Coturnix japonica: one gene and its partners. The main gene of each other region encodes a partner of the protein of the gene in region 2 in a complex. Links are inferred from orthologs where the notes say so. Each region holds a gene or a part of one and is shown on either strand. Other genes may lie near its edges.

Region 1 (3,076 bases), on a different chromosome or scaffold from region 2:
CCCACGTGGTGGGGCTGCCCCCAGCCCTCATTAAACTGAGCGAGTGGACACTGTGAGGTGTGGTGTGTGGGGATGAGGTGCTTGCGGGGTTCCCTTGTACCAGGGCTTTGTGCTCTGCCTGCAGCCCCATGTCTGGGGGGAGCACCCACGTCTGCCACCCCCGCAGCTCCGTCTGGCAGCACCGTCCCTTGGGTGCACCGAGCAAACAGCGCTGGGCTGAGCACACAGAGCCTCAATTACCGGTGGGTCACGGCCTGTGCCCCCACCCCACTGCTGCACCGCGCTGCGTCAGCCCCCCACGTCAGTCACCCCACGTCAGTCACCCCACGTCAGTCACCCCACGTCAGTCACCCCACGTCACTGCTGATGCACGAGGATGGGGACTGGGTGTCTCTGTGCCCCACAGCCCCCAGCTCAGTGTGCAGCCCGAGTGCCGTACCCAAAGCCGTTGGGCCTTCAGCAGCAGAAGGGGACGGGGGGCAGTGACGGCTGCGGGGTGGGGATGGGGGCACAACCGGGGATGCTCAGCCTGGAACGGGGGGTGCTCGGGGAGGGTCTTACCATGGGCTGCAAGTATGGCAAGGTGGGGACGCAGCGGAGATGGAGACGGTTCCCCACACTCAGGTCCGCACTACGGCTTTTCTGCAGTGTTTTATTACAAAATCGGAGCGGAGCCGTCCCGGGGGGGGTCCGGCAGCCGCGCACCCGTCGGAGCGGTCCCGGCGCGGGGCTCAGCGTCCCACGGCGTCGAGGATGCGGCGGTTGTTGTCGGCGCGGGCGCGCTGGCTCTGGGCGCGGGCGAGCAGCAGGAGGTGCCGCAGGAGATGGAACGTGAGGTCGATGGAGAGCGGCGGCTCGTCCCTCCGCGCCCTCCACGGCTCTGCGGGCAGCGGCGGCCACAGCGCTTCGGTCCGCACTTCCGCCGCGGGGACTCCCGAGCCGGGGCCGTCGAGGCCGTCGGGGCGGGCGGGACGGGGGGCGGCGGGGAACGGGCGGCACAGCAGCAGCAGAACGGTGAGCAGCGCCCGCCGCATCTCGGCTCGTCCGCACCTGCGGGGCTGCGGGTCAGCGCGGGGTCCGCACCCGACGGGGCTTCCCCGAAGCCGAACGCTCCCCGTCCCGTCCCGTCCCGCACCGCCCGGCACTGCCCCGTCCCGCACCGCTCCGCACCGCCCGTACCGCTGCTCCGAGCTCTGGGCGCCGTGCGCTGCGCGGAGCTCCGTCCGTCCCCGCGGGGCTGAGCCGGAGCCGCGCTCGGGACTTTATATGGGGCCCGGAGCGGGGCTGACGTCAGCGGCGGGGACGCACAGGGCGGGGGCGGGGGGTGCGGGGCTACGGGGGACGGCGGATTCGGAGCGCACCGGGACCGGGAGCGGCCCCTCGGGACCCGCATCTCTCCGGTGCCCGTTCTCGTCCCGCACCCCGCACAGCTCTTACACCGCACCCCGATCCCGGTGCCGCTGTCCGTGGTGCTGAAGGGGCGGTGCGGGGCTCTGCGCCGTCGGGGCCGCGTTCCCCGTCGGAGCTGGGGTGCCGGAACCCCGCACCCACGCGACGTCACCCCCCGTCCTCCTCCTCCCCCCCGGTGCACCCCCCATGGCACCGCGCCGGTCCAGCACGCCGCGGCCAAGCGCTGCAGACGGCCCCGAGGAAGCGGCGGTGGCCAAAGGCGTGACTCATAGAGACGAGCGCGGTGCCATGCGGCTCGGGGATACGGCACCGCGGCACCGCGCCCGGCGACGATGGGAAACGACGGGCCGAGGGCTGAATCCCCGGCCCCAAAAGGCCCAGGGTGACGGGGGGGCGATAATTCACGCGTTACAGGGGCAGCGGAGCGGAGCTTTTATTGGGTGCTCCTGAAGGGCCCGACCCGAGTCCCAGTGGAGGTACTGGAGGGCACTGTCACACGTGGGGTGTGAGCCAGCAGTGAGGCTGGGGAAGGACGGAGCATCTCCTGTGCTGGGCAGGGCACAGAGAACAGACAGAGCGGTCCCACAGCCCCACGGGGTCATCGCTGCCATAGCATCCCCGTGATGGACAGCACGGCACTCCAGCCCCACACACAGTCCCCGACTGAGGCTCCAGAGCTGGTGGGTGGGGGCACCTGGAGCACAGCTGCCCCTCACAGCCGGTTTGCTTTCCAGGACAGGTAGCAGTTCCAGACAATGGCAACACACTGCACGACAGCCAGCCTGGGAACAGAGCGAAGGATGGCTCAGCAGACACAGCCATGGGCAGCGGGAGCTGTGGGGCCATGGGGTTGTGCTGCTACCTGTGGGCCAGAGGGATGAAGTAGAAGTTGGCGATCTGCACCGGCGGCCAAATCTGGGCAGAGGGGAGGAGCGATATGAGGGGCCGCAGGCAGCTCTGTGCCACGGGATCAGGGAATCCAACCCAGGATTCCATCCTCAGCACTTACACAGTAGTTGGTGAGCAGCGCGTCCATGTAGTCCTGGGGAAGGTAGAGGCCGTGAGCGCAGGGAGCAGCCCTGCAACCACCCCACCCCACACACAGCCTGGCCCAGTTGGGGGCAGAGGAACAGTGCAGGGACAGCTGTGACCCCGCACGCAGCAGGCAGGGACTGCAGTCTCCCCAAGCTGGGCACAGGGCAGGTCCCCCTTCCCCTGCATGGGAATGTGCCCATAAAGGGCAGCAGCGTGAGGGCAGAAGGCAGCCAGGAGCCCTGCAGCAGGTCTGGGGCACAGCTCCTGTCACCAGCCCTGGTGCAGCCCCCTGGGGTCACAAATGTCAGGGACAAGAGGGGAACGTAGCACGCAACCCATCCCCTTGCCCAGCCTGGCTGTGACTCAGCCAGGATCCGGCCTCATCCCGGCACTGGCCGGCGGCCCAGAACGGGGAGAGCAAGCGCTGGGGTGATGGATGCGCTGTGACGCTCCCTCTACGTGGGGAGAGGCGGATGTGCCCCAAGTGGGGGTGAAGATGTCCCCAGAACGGAGCCTGGGGCACCCAGCCCACCTGGGGCACCCGACTCCAGTTACAGCCTGTGGGGTGGGGACCTCATCTACAACCCTGCTACTCCATGTGCTGCACCCCAACAGATGGGTGAGATCCCCT
Region 2 (3,645 bases):
TGCTTGTGACCTGCCAACTCTGCTCTTATTTGCCCCTTCCTGAGAAAGTGAAGTCCCAGTAGATTGTTTGACCTCTGGATCAAGCATTGCTGCACAGCCAGTGGCCAGGAGCAAACTGCTGCAGAGCAAAGAGTGAGGCTGAGGCAACTCCTGATGTTTGGCAGAACACACACCTGCACCCAAACAATGCGTCAGCAGTGATGTGGAGACTGATCAGTGCTTGTAGGATTCTGCTAATGGAGGTATCCCTATCAGAACCCCTTTCCAGCCCACCTCAAGTTGTCAGGATCCACACGATGTTTCTCATCACAGCTGGGTGCTGTATGAGTGGAGGGAGCCTGACTTGCAAAGCATTGCTGCCATGGGACAGCACAGCTGGCAAGACCCAGGTCCACATACAGATGGGAAGGACCTGATATATAGCAAGCGAGGTCACTATGCCCTTACCAGAAGCACCAGGATCATGGGACCTTGATAGATGTAGTCAGTATAAACTCCTGCTCGCTTCCCAAACCAGCACCTGTAAGGCAAAGGCAGACAGTGTTGGGAACATGTGGTGTCAGGGACAGGAAGCGTCAGGGACAAGCCTGCAGCACAAGTGACAAGGTTGACTTTGACCCTTACACAATGTCCGTAGGTCACTGTCATAGCATGAAGGCAGTAAGACTTAGGCTGCTGTAGCTGGGAGTAGCTGCTATGGAACAGCTTCTCCCACACACCAGACTACATAGGGAGGTTTATACTGGTCCTATTTGAGAGTGGGAACTGGTTATTGTGGGGTAAGGAAGGACAGCCTTACACAGGGTTGGCTGTGTCCCCAGCAAACCCCATAGGAGCTAATGGTATCAATGTCCTGAGAGCATCTGGTTGAATTTTGGTTAATCATTCCTTCTCCTGTGTGCAGTAAGGATGCTCAAGTCACAAGGCAAAACTAGTGCTGCAAAACAAGGCGAGCTGCATTCACTGGAGCAGGCTCTTTTCAGTTCCACCATCCCCATGATGAACTCATCAGGTTCCTGTTAAGTCCTCCATTAACAAGTCTCTGTGAAAATGGCTCAGGTGGTGGTAGTTTATATCTCTACCGGTAGATTAAATCCCAGCTCCACTTAGCAAACACTTTGTAAGAGCTGTGGCTTAATCTAGCCTTTTCCCTTCTTAAAAATCTCATTTGCAGTTTGAAAGGAAAAATGCAGCAGCAGGAAGGGTGCGTGCTGCAGTGAGCCTAAAGGCAGGATAAAAGAAAGAATGGGAGAATATCATTTTTCCTTGCACCCTTTCCCTGTGATCTCCTGCAGGTACATCCATGCCTGCGATGTGCCAGCTCCTTGCATGACCAGGGAATTGCAATAGGGGAGGGGGAAGGAGAGCAGAGAGGCTCACTTCTCGTTGTCGTAGTACAGCTTCCCAATGGCCCAGGCGACAATGATAGGAAAGGGGATACCTGCAGATGAACACACAGACAGGTCTCAGGAGAGCAATACTGCAGCCAAATGATGATGGTCTTGCACAAGGCAAACTGATATGGGCATGCACTGCTCTCATGTTCCTGAAGGGAGCTGTTTCGAATCATAGAATCATTCAGGTTGGAAAAGACCTCCAAGATCATCTAGTCCTACTATCAGCCCATCCCCACCATGCCCACTAAAGCACATCCTTAAGTACCATTAGGTAAAACAAGAGCAGGAGCAGAGGATAGGGGTGAGTATCACTCATTGCACGTAGGGGAGGGCCCTGGTACTTACACCAGCCAATACAGATGAACATCCACTTGCGGAGCTTGTCAGTAGAATAGGTGAGGACGATGGCTGTGTGCAGGTAGCAGCCCTCACCAAACATCCAGAAGAAGTTGGTGACATGGAAGTAATTGTAGGCAGCAGTGACCAAGCGGCACCAGACCTGCCAAGAGTTTAGGAGATGCAGTGAAGAGCAGAACTACTTCAAAGAGACAATAAACAAATCACCACGGCTGCTTCTTGATGCCAAAGTAAGAACCAACATTAGCTCTGTGTTACAGTGAAGAAACTGAGCCATAGCATGACACAGACCCCAGCAGAGCAATTGTGCCCAGGTTTCCCATAAGCCTTGGTTGCTTTCCAGCCACCAAGTAGCACTATTTGACCTCTCAAGTCAGCTTTTGTGGCCTTGTCTCTAAGATCCTTGAGCTTCCCACCTACCACATTGCTCTCGTGCACCTCTGGGTTCATTGTGAGTTGCACCACAAACCATGTGGCATTGCGTAGGATGAAGGCTGTGATTAGGTTCCAGTGGATGATGTTCCTCAGGCACCGGATGCTCCTGCAGAATGGGGGGGACAAATCAGAGAGCACAACAGCTGCCTGTGGACAGAACCCAGGTGGGCTGCAGGGGAAGACAAGGCTCTTTGTAGGGCTGATTGTTTTCAAAGGAACCCAAAGCCCAGTGATGAGACACTGGGGCTGTGCCTTGCGTGATGTGGCCAGGTGATGGAGGGCACCAAGTAGGATTCTCTTCCTCTATAAGTCATTGCTTTAAAAAGTAGAGGGAAGAAAATAACCCTGAGGCAGGCATTCAGACTTGAGTGTGGCTAGAAATCAATGGCCATGGAAGGGACACAGCAGAATACCAGGTCTCCAGGTCTGCCCCCACCTGAAGGGACCTCTATAGGCTCATCCCCCCGTAGCAGGTCAAGTCTCTCACCGCAGGCGCATGAAGAGGACGAAGGCCACAAGGAGGGCCCCCAGTGAGACGCAGTGCCCCAGGTAGTTGATGATGACAGCGATGTGGTAATGCAACTTGCTCTTCTTCTGTGGAGAAGAAGACAGAGAGGGGTCAATAGGATCCCAAACCCTCCACCTCCCAGAGCTGCTCTGCAGAAACCCATTGGGGTCCACCTTGTGAAGAAGCTGCTGGAAACTGTAGATGGGGCTAATTTAGGCAGGAAATATACAAACCTGTGCAGGCAACGGGCTTGGGTACTTCACATCTTGCTCCTACATCAGCCCTGCTCAGTACTAGGACATCCCTGACACATCATCTAGGGGAAACCCTGCTGTAACTCAGCCAAGCTCACTGGCAGCATGATGCTTGATGTCTCTGTTCATTCCCTTTAGCCCTGGGGCAGATGAGAGGCTGGGATGAATTTGGGCAAAGAGAACAGGGGATCACAGGAAGGCATGAGTGATAATTAAATTAATTGATTGCTCCTGCTGTTAGGCAATCATCCAACCTGTGAATTAGCAATTAACTGAGTGAGAAAACTATTCCTGGCAAAAGATATCAGCATCCTAAATACCAGAGGTGGTTATCAGCCGTAAAAGAGCAGCCTGTATCTCTTCTCCTTTGTTCTGAGGGGTGGCTTGACCTACACAGGGGCTTGTAATTCTTGGTATCCATCCCTCTCAGCTTCCTAAATAGCTCCTTCATTTCATTGCCAGGAGGGAGATGTAGAGTTTGGGTTGTTCTGTTTTCATGGTAAGGAGCTGCAGAAGCAGAAGAGGGTAATAAATGTGGAGGATGTGCTGACCTGTACCATGCAGCCTAGGACCAAGAGAACTCACATTACAAATCCTTGGCCTTTTAACATGGAAGGAAACAGAAATCATTTTATTTTCACAAAGGAATGAAAATGTACATCAAGGATAGAGTCACATATGTTACCTACACCCT
Region 3 (3,644 bases), on a different chromosome or scaffold from region 2:
GAAGGAGACGGAAACCGGCCCTTCTTCCTTCTCCCTTTGCATCTACTTTCCCGAAGGGAAAACCTGGATATAACCTGGATATGGGGGGAGGGGGGGGGACGGCAGGAGGGGTAGGGACAGACAAACCCCATCAGCACGGGGCAGATGTTGGGTTTACGGCAGAAGTTGAACCGTTGAGGTGATTCTTCTAACAAAATTCCTGTCTTAAAAGGAGCGCTCCTAACGCACTGAAGGTGACAGAATGCTCGAGGGAGACGGGGTTTCCTTCAGAGAGCTCGGTGCCAGAGCCGAGCCCTGAGCTGGGGCCGAGCGCGGAGCTGCTGAGGTCTGCGGGGACGGGGCTCAGCCCCGATCGGTGCTTATTGCCTCCAGAAAACGCTCCTGCGGGGGAACTTTCGGGGGAAGGGCTGAGGGTTGCGCAGAGCTTTGGGGCTGACAGAGAGCGGAGCGCTGCCCGCTCCCGTCCGTCCAGGAAGAGGATCTGCTGCGGGGTGCTGGTCCCGGTAGCGTCCCGGCCACCCGTGGGGGGCGGAGGGGGCCGGCAGCCCGCAGCGAGCGGCGGAGAGGAGCGCAGAGCTGCACCACCCCCGGTCGGGGCGGGCGGCCCACGGTGTCAGCAGGCAAGAAAGCGTGTCCAGCCATCGTTCCTTTGCAGCTTTTATTAAAAATATAAATATTAAACATTCTCTTACACAACAAAATCGACCGAGCGCTGAAAAGATGTTTTATTGTGAAAATGTCGTACAGGGGTAAAAGTGGACTCGAAGTAGCGGACAGAGGTTCCCCTCCCTCCTCCCACCCCGGCACGGCGCTCCCCGTGCTCCCCGCCGCCCCCGGCCGTCCCTGCGGAGCCCTCTCGCTATGGGAAATGGAGAAATAAATAAGGGTCGGGGTGGGGGGGCCGGCGGCACCGCGCGTCCGCGCATGCTGAGGGGGGGCGGCGGCTCGGAGCGCGCCCTTCGGGGTTCGAAGCTCTATAAAAATAAAGAGATGACATCAGAGCAGCACTATGGTACGTCGGGCGGTGTGATGGCTCTGGTGCTGACCGCGGGGTCCCTTTGGCACGGCGCGGGGGGGCCGCCTCATTTCCCGATGATTTCCATCAGTTTCCTGTTGCTGTGGGCTTGCTGCGCCAGCTGCTCGGCTCGGGCCATCTCCAGCACCTCCCGCAGCAGGTGGAAAGTCAGGTCCAGGGAGATGGGCGGCTCCTCGGAGCGCTTCTCCCTTTCCACCGCCTCCCCCGCTCCTTCGTCCCCTTCGGGGCTCCCCGACCGCTGCAGCTGCGCCGCGGCCGCCCGCAACAACTCGGCGGAGGCTTCGGGCCGGAGGTGGCCGCCGGAGGAGGCGGAGAAAAGGCCGGCGGGGCGCTTGGTGAGGTGGCCCAGGCGTAGGAAGTACTCCTCTCCCATGCGGAGCAGGACGGGCAGAGTTTGCTGCTGCTGCTGCTGCTGCTGCTGCTGCGGGAAGAAATCGGGCTGCTGCAGAGCCCCGCGGGCGGCTCCCGGGCTCTTGCTGAGCGCTCGGCACTCGTGGCAGGGCAGCAGGGCGAGCAGCAGGATCCCCGCGCACACCAGCGGCTGGAGCTTCATGGTCGGGGCCAGACCTGCAGCGGGGCGAACGGGTGGGGGACACGCGCGGGTCACATGCGGCCGCAGTCAGGCGGGGGGCACGCAGCGCGGCCGCTGTCCCGGTGCTGAAACGCGGCCCCGGCGCCCCCCGAGCCCCTCCGCTCCGCTCCACTCCGCCCCCGCCCGCCGCCGCCCGGACCGCCCGGCCCCCGCCGTCGGGGCGAGCGCGGCCCCGCTCCTACCTGGGGCGGCGGCGGCGGCAGGCGGCGGGGCTCGGCGGTGCCCGGCTGTGCCCGGCTGTGCCCGGCTGTGCCTGGCGGTGCCCGGCGTCCTTCCTCTGGCTCTGCCTCGGAGCCTCCTCCCGGCGAACTTGTGATCAGATTTGGTCCTAATCAGAGCCGGGGCGAGGGATTTTTATAGCTTAGACCCTCTCCTGGAATCACGCAGAACTTGCCTAATAAGCTGACGCTCTCCTGACAGCCCGATTGCGTGCCCCGATCCACTGCTGAATAAATCATGGGGGCCCGTCGGAGCGGCGATGGGCCGAGTTTCGCTATCGCAACCCCAAATCTCACGTCCAATTATATCAACAGATATTTATCGCCTCTGCGGTGACGTCAGCGGGGCCGGGGGCCGGGGAGCCGCGGGCCCCCCCTCCTCCCCATTGACAAAAACACTTGAATGAGATCTCCTAGCGGGCGCGTACGCGGAGAGGTCACTCCGGGAAACTTTCCACTCTCGGGACGGCTCCCTCCGCCCGATCCTCCGCTCTCTCCACCGCCGTCTCCGGGCCCCACCGACGGGGCGCAATGGCACGGGGCGGGGAAGGCGCGGGGCTCGGGATGCTCCGCGGGGCGATGGGCGCGGGCAGCCCCCGCCGTTCCCTGGACGGCTTCCCACTCCCAGCTCCGGGCGCTGCTCCTCTTCCCTCGGCTGTCCCCGGCCGCCGCTGCCCGCGATCCTCCCCAGCTCCGCACCCTCGGGGCGATGCGCTTCCCCGCCTGCTCCCCTCACGGAAGGCCCTACCTCCGGGGGGCTCTCCCATCAGCAGGTCCCTCTGAGGTCCCTTTGGGGCGCTCCCCCGTCAGCACGGTGCCTGCAAACGTCCCCCCCTTCCCCCTCCTCCAGCCGGGCTGCTCGGCATCTCCCCAGGAGGGAGCACCGTTCAGCGCGGTGACTTCTGCCCAACTCCCATCCCGTGCGCAATCTGCCTCCTTCAGGTTGCACGTCCCGACAGCTTTGCGTCTCAGTACTGTTTTCCCACCGCCTCACTCGCGACGTTCATCTCATCCCTCCCTTTAAACCGAGAAATTGCACTGAAATCCCCCCCGGCTTTGACCTGCCCCAATCGTGGGCGCTCGGGGTCACACACCTGTGTGCGTCCCACTGCAGCAAGGAGATGAACACAGCACGGAAGGTGTTTGCACATTATGGATGCCGAACCGGTGGCAAACCTCAAATCCATTTCCTTAATGAAATAACGAAGTTCAAAGCACTGAACGTATGAGGTTGGCCGCAGCCCAGCTCTGAGCATCCCCTGAGGGACGCTGCACACTCGGTCTGCTGTCACACCTACCTCCGGCCTCAGACGTTGCTGAAGTGCCAAAGAATCAGATCTTGCGCATCATAAGCAAACAAATGGAAAAACAGGTTGTAATGCTGGGGATTTGTCTCAGCATTACCTTCGTTAGCTCAGGCATTCGTGAACCGAAATGCGTCTTACAACAAAACAGAGCAGGATATCTCGAGGAGCTCATCGCAGCAGAAGCTATTTGTATGCTTTTAAAGCATGTCAGCGCCGCTTCCTGCGAGAACAACAAGAGGTTCAAAGAAGCAGGAGCTAAGTTCAGTCAGGTGATGGAAAATGCAACAGGCACTCATTAAAACTGAACCCTCTGGACGTGCTCAGGGGGGTTATCACACACAGTGTCTCCATTTTTAAGTTTAATATGCCCTTAAAGGACATAAAACCTCTTCAGATACTGAGGCCATAAACTTGAAGGAGACATACTGATCCAAATACATGCTTCTTAGTACTGTGGGTGCGATCTGATTAAGATACAGAGCTGTGTCTCT

What was found.
Region 1: the proteins of CRHR1 (region 2) and UCN are in contact, whole or in part, in a cryo-EM structure (PDB 6PB0), measured with the Homo sapiens proteins. The link is inferred for Coturnix japonica from reciprocal best matches to the Homo sapiens genes CRHR1 and UCN. Residues at the interface, in NP_004373.2 of Homo sapiens: Leu106, Asn107, Glu109, Lys113, His117, Val120, Asn123, Trp169, Val172, Gln173, Ser177, Pro178, His181, Gln182, Thr192, Tyr195, Asn196, His199, Phe203, Phe260, Gly261, Lys262, Pro264, Tyr270, Tyr272, Gln273, Met276, Ile277, Tyr327, Phe330; in NP_003344.1 of Homo sapiens: Asn84, Pro85, Ser86, Leu87, Ser88, Ile89, Asp90, Leu91, Thr92, Phe93, His94, Leu95, Leu96, Arg97, Leu99, Leu100, Glu101, Leu102, Ala103, Arg104, Thr105, Gln106, Gln108, Arg109.
Region 3: the proteins of CRHR1 (region 2) and CRH are in contact, whole or in part, in a cryo-EM structure (PDB 6P9X), measured with the Homo sapiens proteins. The link is inferred for Coturnix japonica from reciprocal best matches to the Homo sapiens genes CRHR1 and CRH. Residues at the interface, in NP_004373.2 of Homo sapiens: Lys113, Tyr116, His117, Ala119, Val120, Asn123, Trp169, Val172, Gln173, Met176, Ser177, Pro178, His181, Thr192, Tyr195, Asn196, His199, Phe203, Phe260, Gly261, Lys262, Tyr267, Tyr272, Gln273, Met276, Ile277, Leu280, Tyr327, Phe330, Phe331; in NP_000747.1 of Homo sapiens: Glu156, Pro157, Pro158, Ile159, Ser160, Leu161, Asp162, Leu163, Thr164, Phe165, His166, Leu167, Leu168, Arg169, Glu170, Leu172, Met174, Arg176.

Annotation. Positions count from the first base shown.
Region 1 is NC_029518.1:95,414,397-95,417,472, reverse strand, and holds UCN (urocortin), read right to left. Parts: upstream 1,520-3,076; 5' UTR 1,180-1,519; intron 1,051-1,179; 5' UTR 1,035-1,050; coding exon 732-1,034; 3' UTR 543-731; downstream 1-542. Other genes in the region: protein Mpv17, read right to left, coding at 1,812-2,192, 2,420-2,452. UniProt on the Homo sapiens protein: Acts in vitro to stimulate the secretion of adrenocorticotropic hormone (ACTH). Binds with high affinity to CRF receptor types 1, 2-alpha, and 2-beta. Plays a role in the establishment of normal hearing thresholds.
Region 2 is NC_029542.1:1,750,504-1,754,148, reverse strand, and holds part of CRHR1 (corticotropin-releasing factor receptor 1), read right to left. Parts: intron 2,784-3,645; coding exon 2,677-2,783; intron 2,296-2,676; coding exon 2,175-2,295; intron 1,897-2,174; coding exon 1,743-1,896; intron 1,442-1,742; coding exon 1,381-1,441; intron 521-1,380; coding exon 448-520; intron 1-447.
Region 3 is NC_029517.1:104,167,082-104,170,725, forward strand, and holds CRH (corticoliberin), read right to left. Parts: upstream 2,222-3,644; 5' UTR 1,811-2,221; intron 1,604-1,810; 5' UTR 1,590-1,603; coding exon 1,083-1,589; 3' UTR 645-1,082; downstream 1-644. UniProt on the Homo sapiens protein: Hormone regulating the release of corticotropin from pituitary gland. Induces NLRP6 in intestinal epithelial cells, hence may influence gut microbiota profile.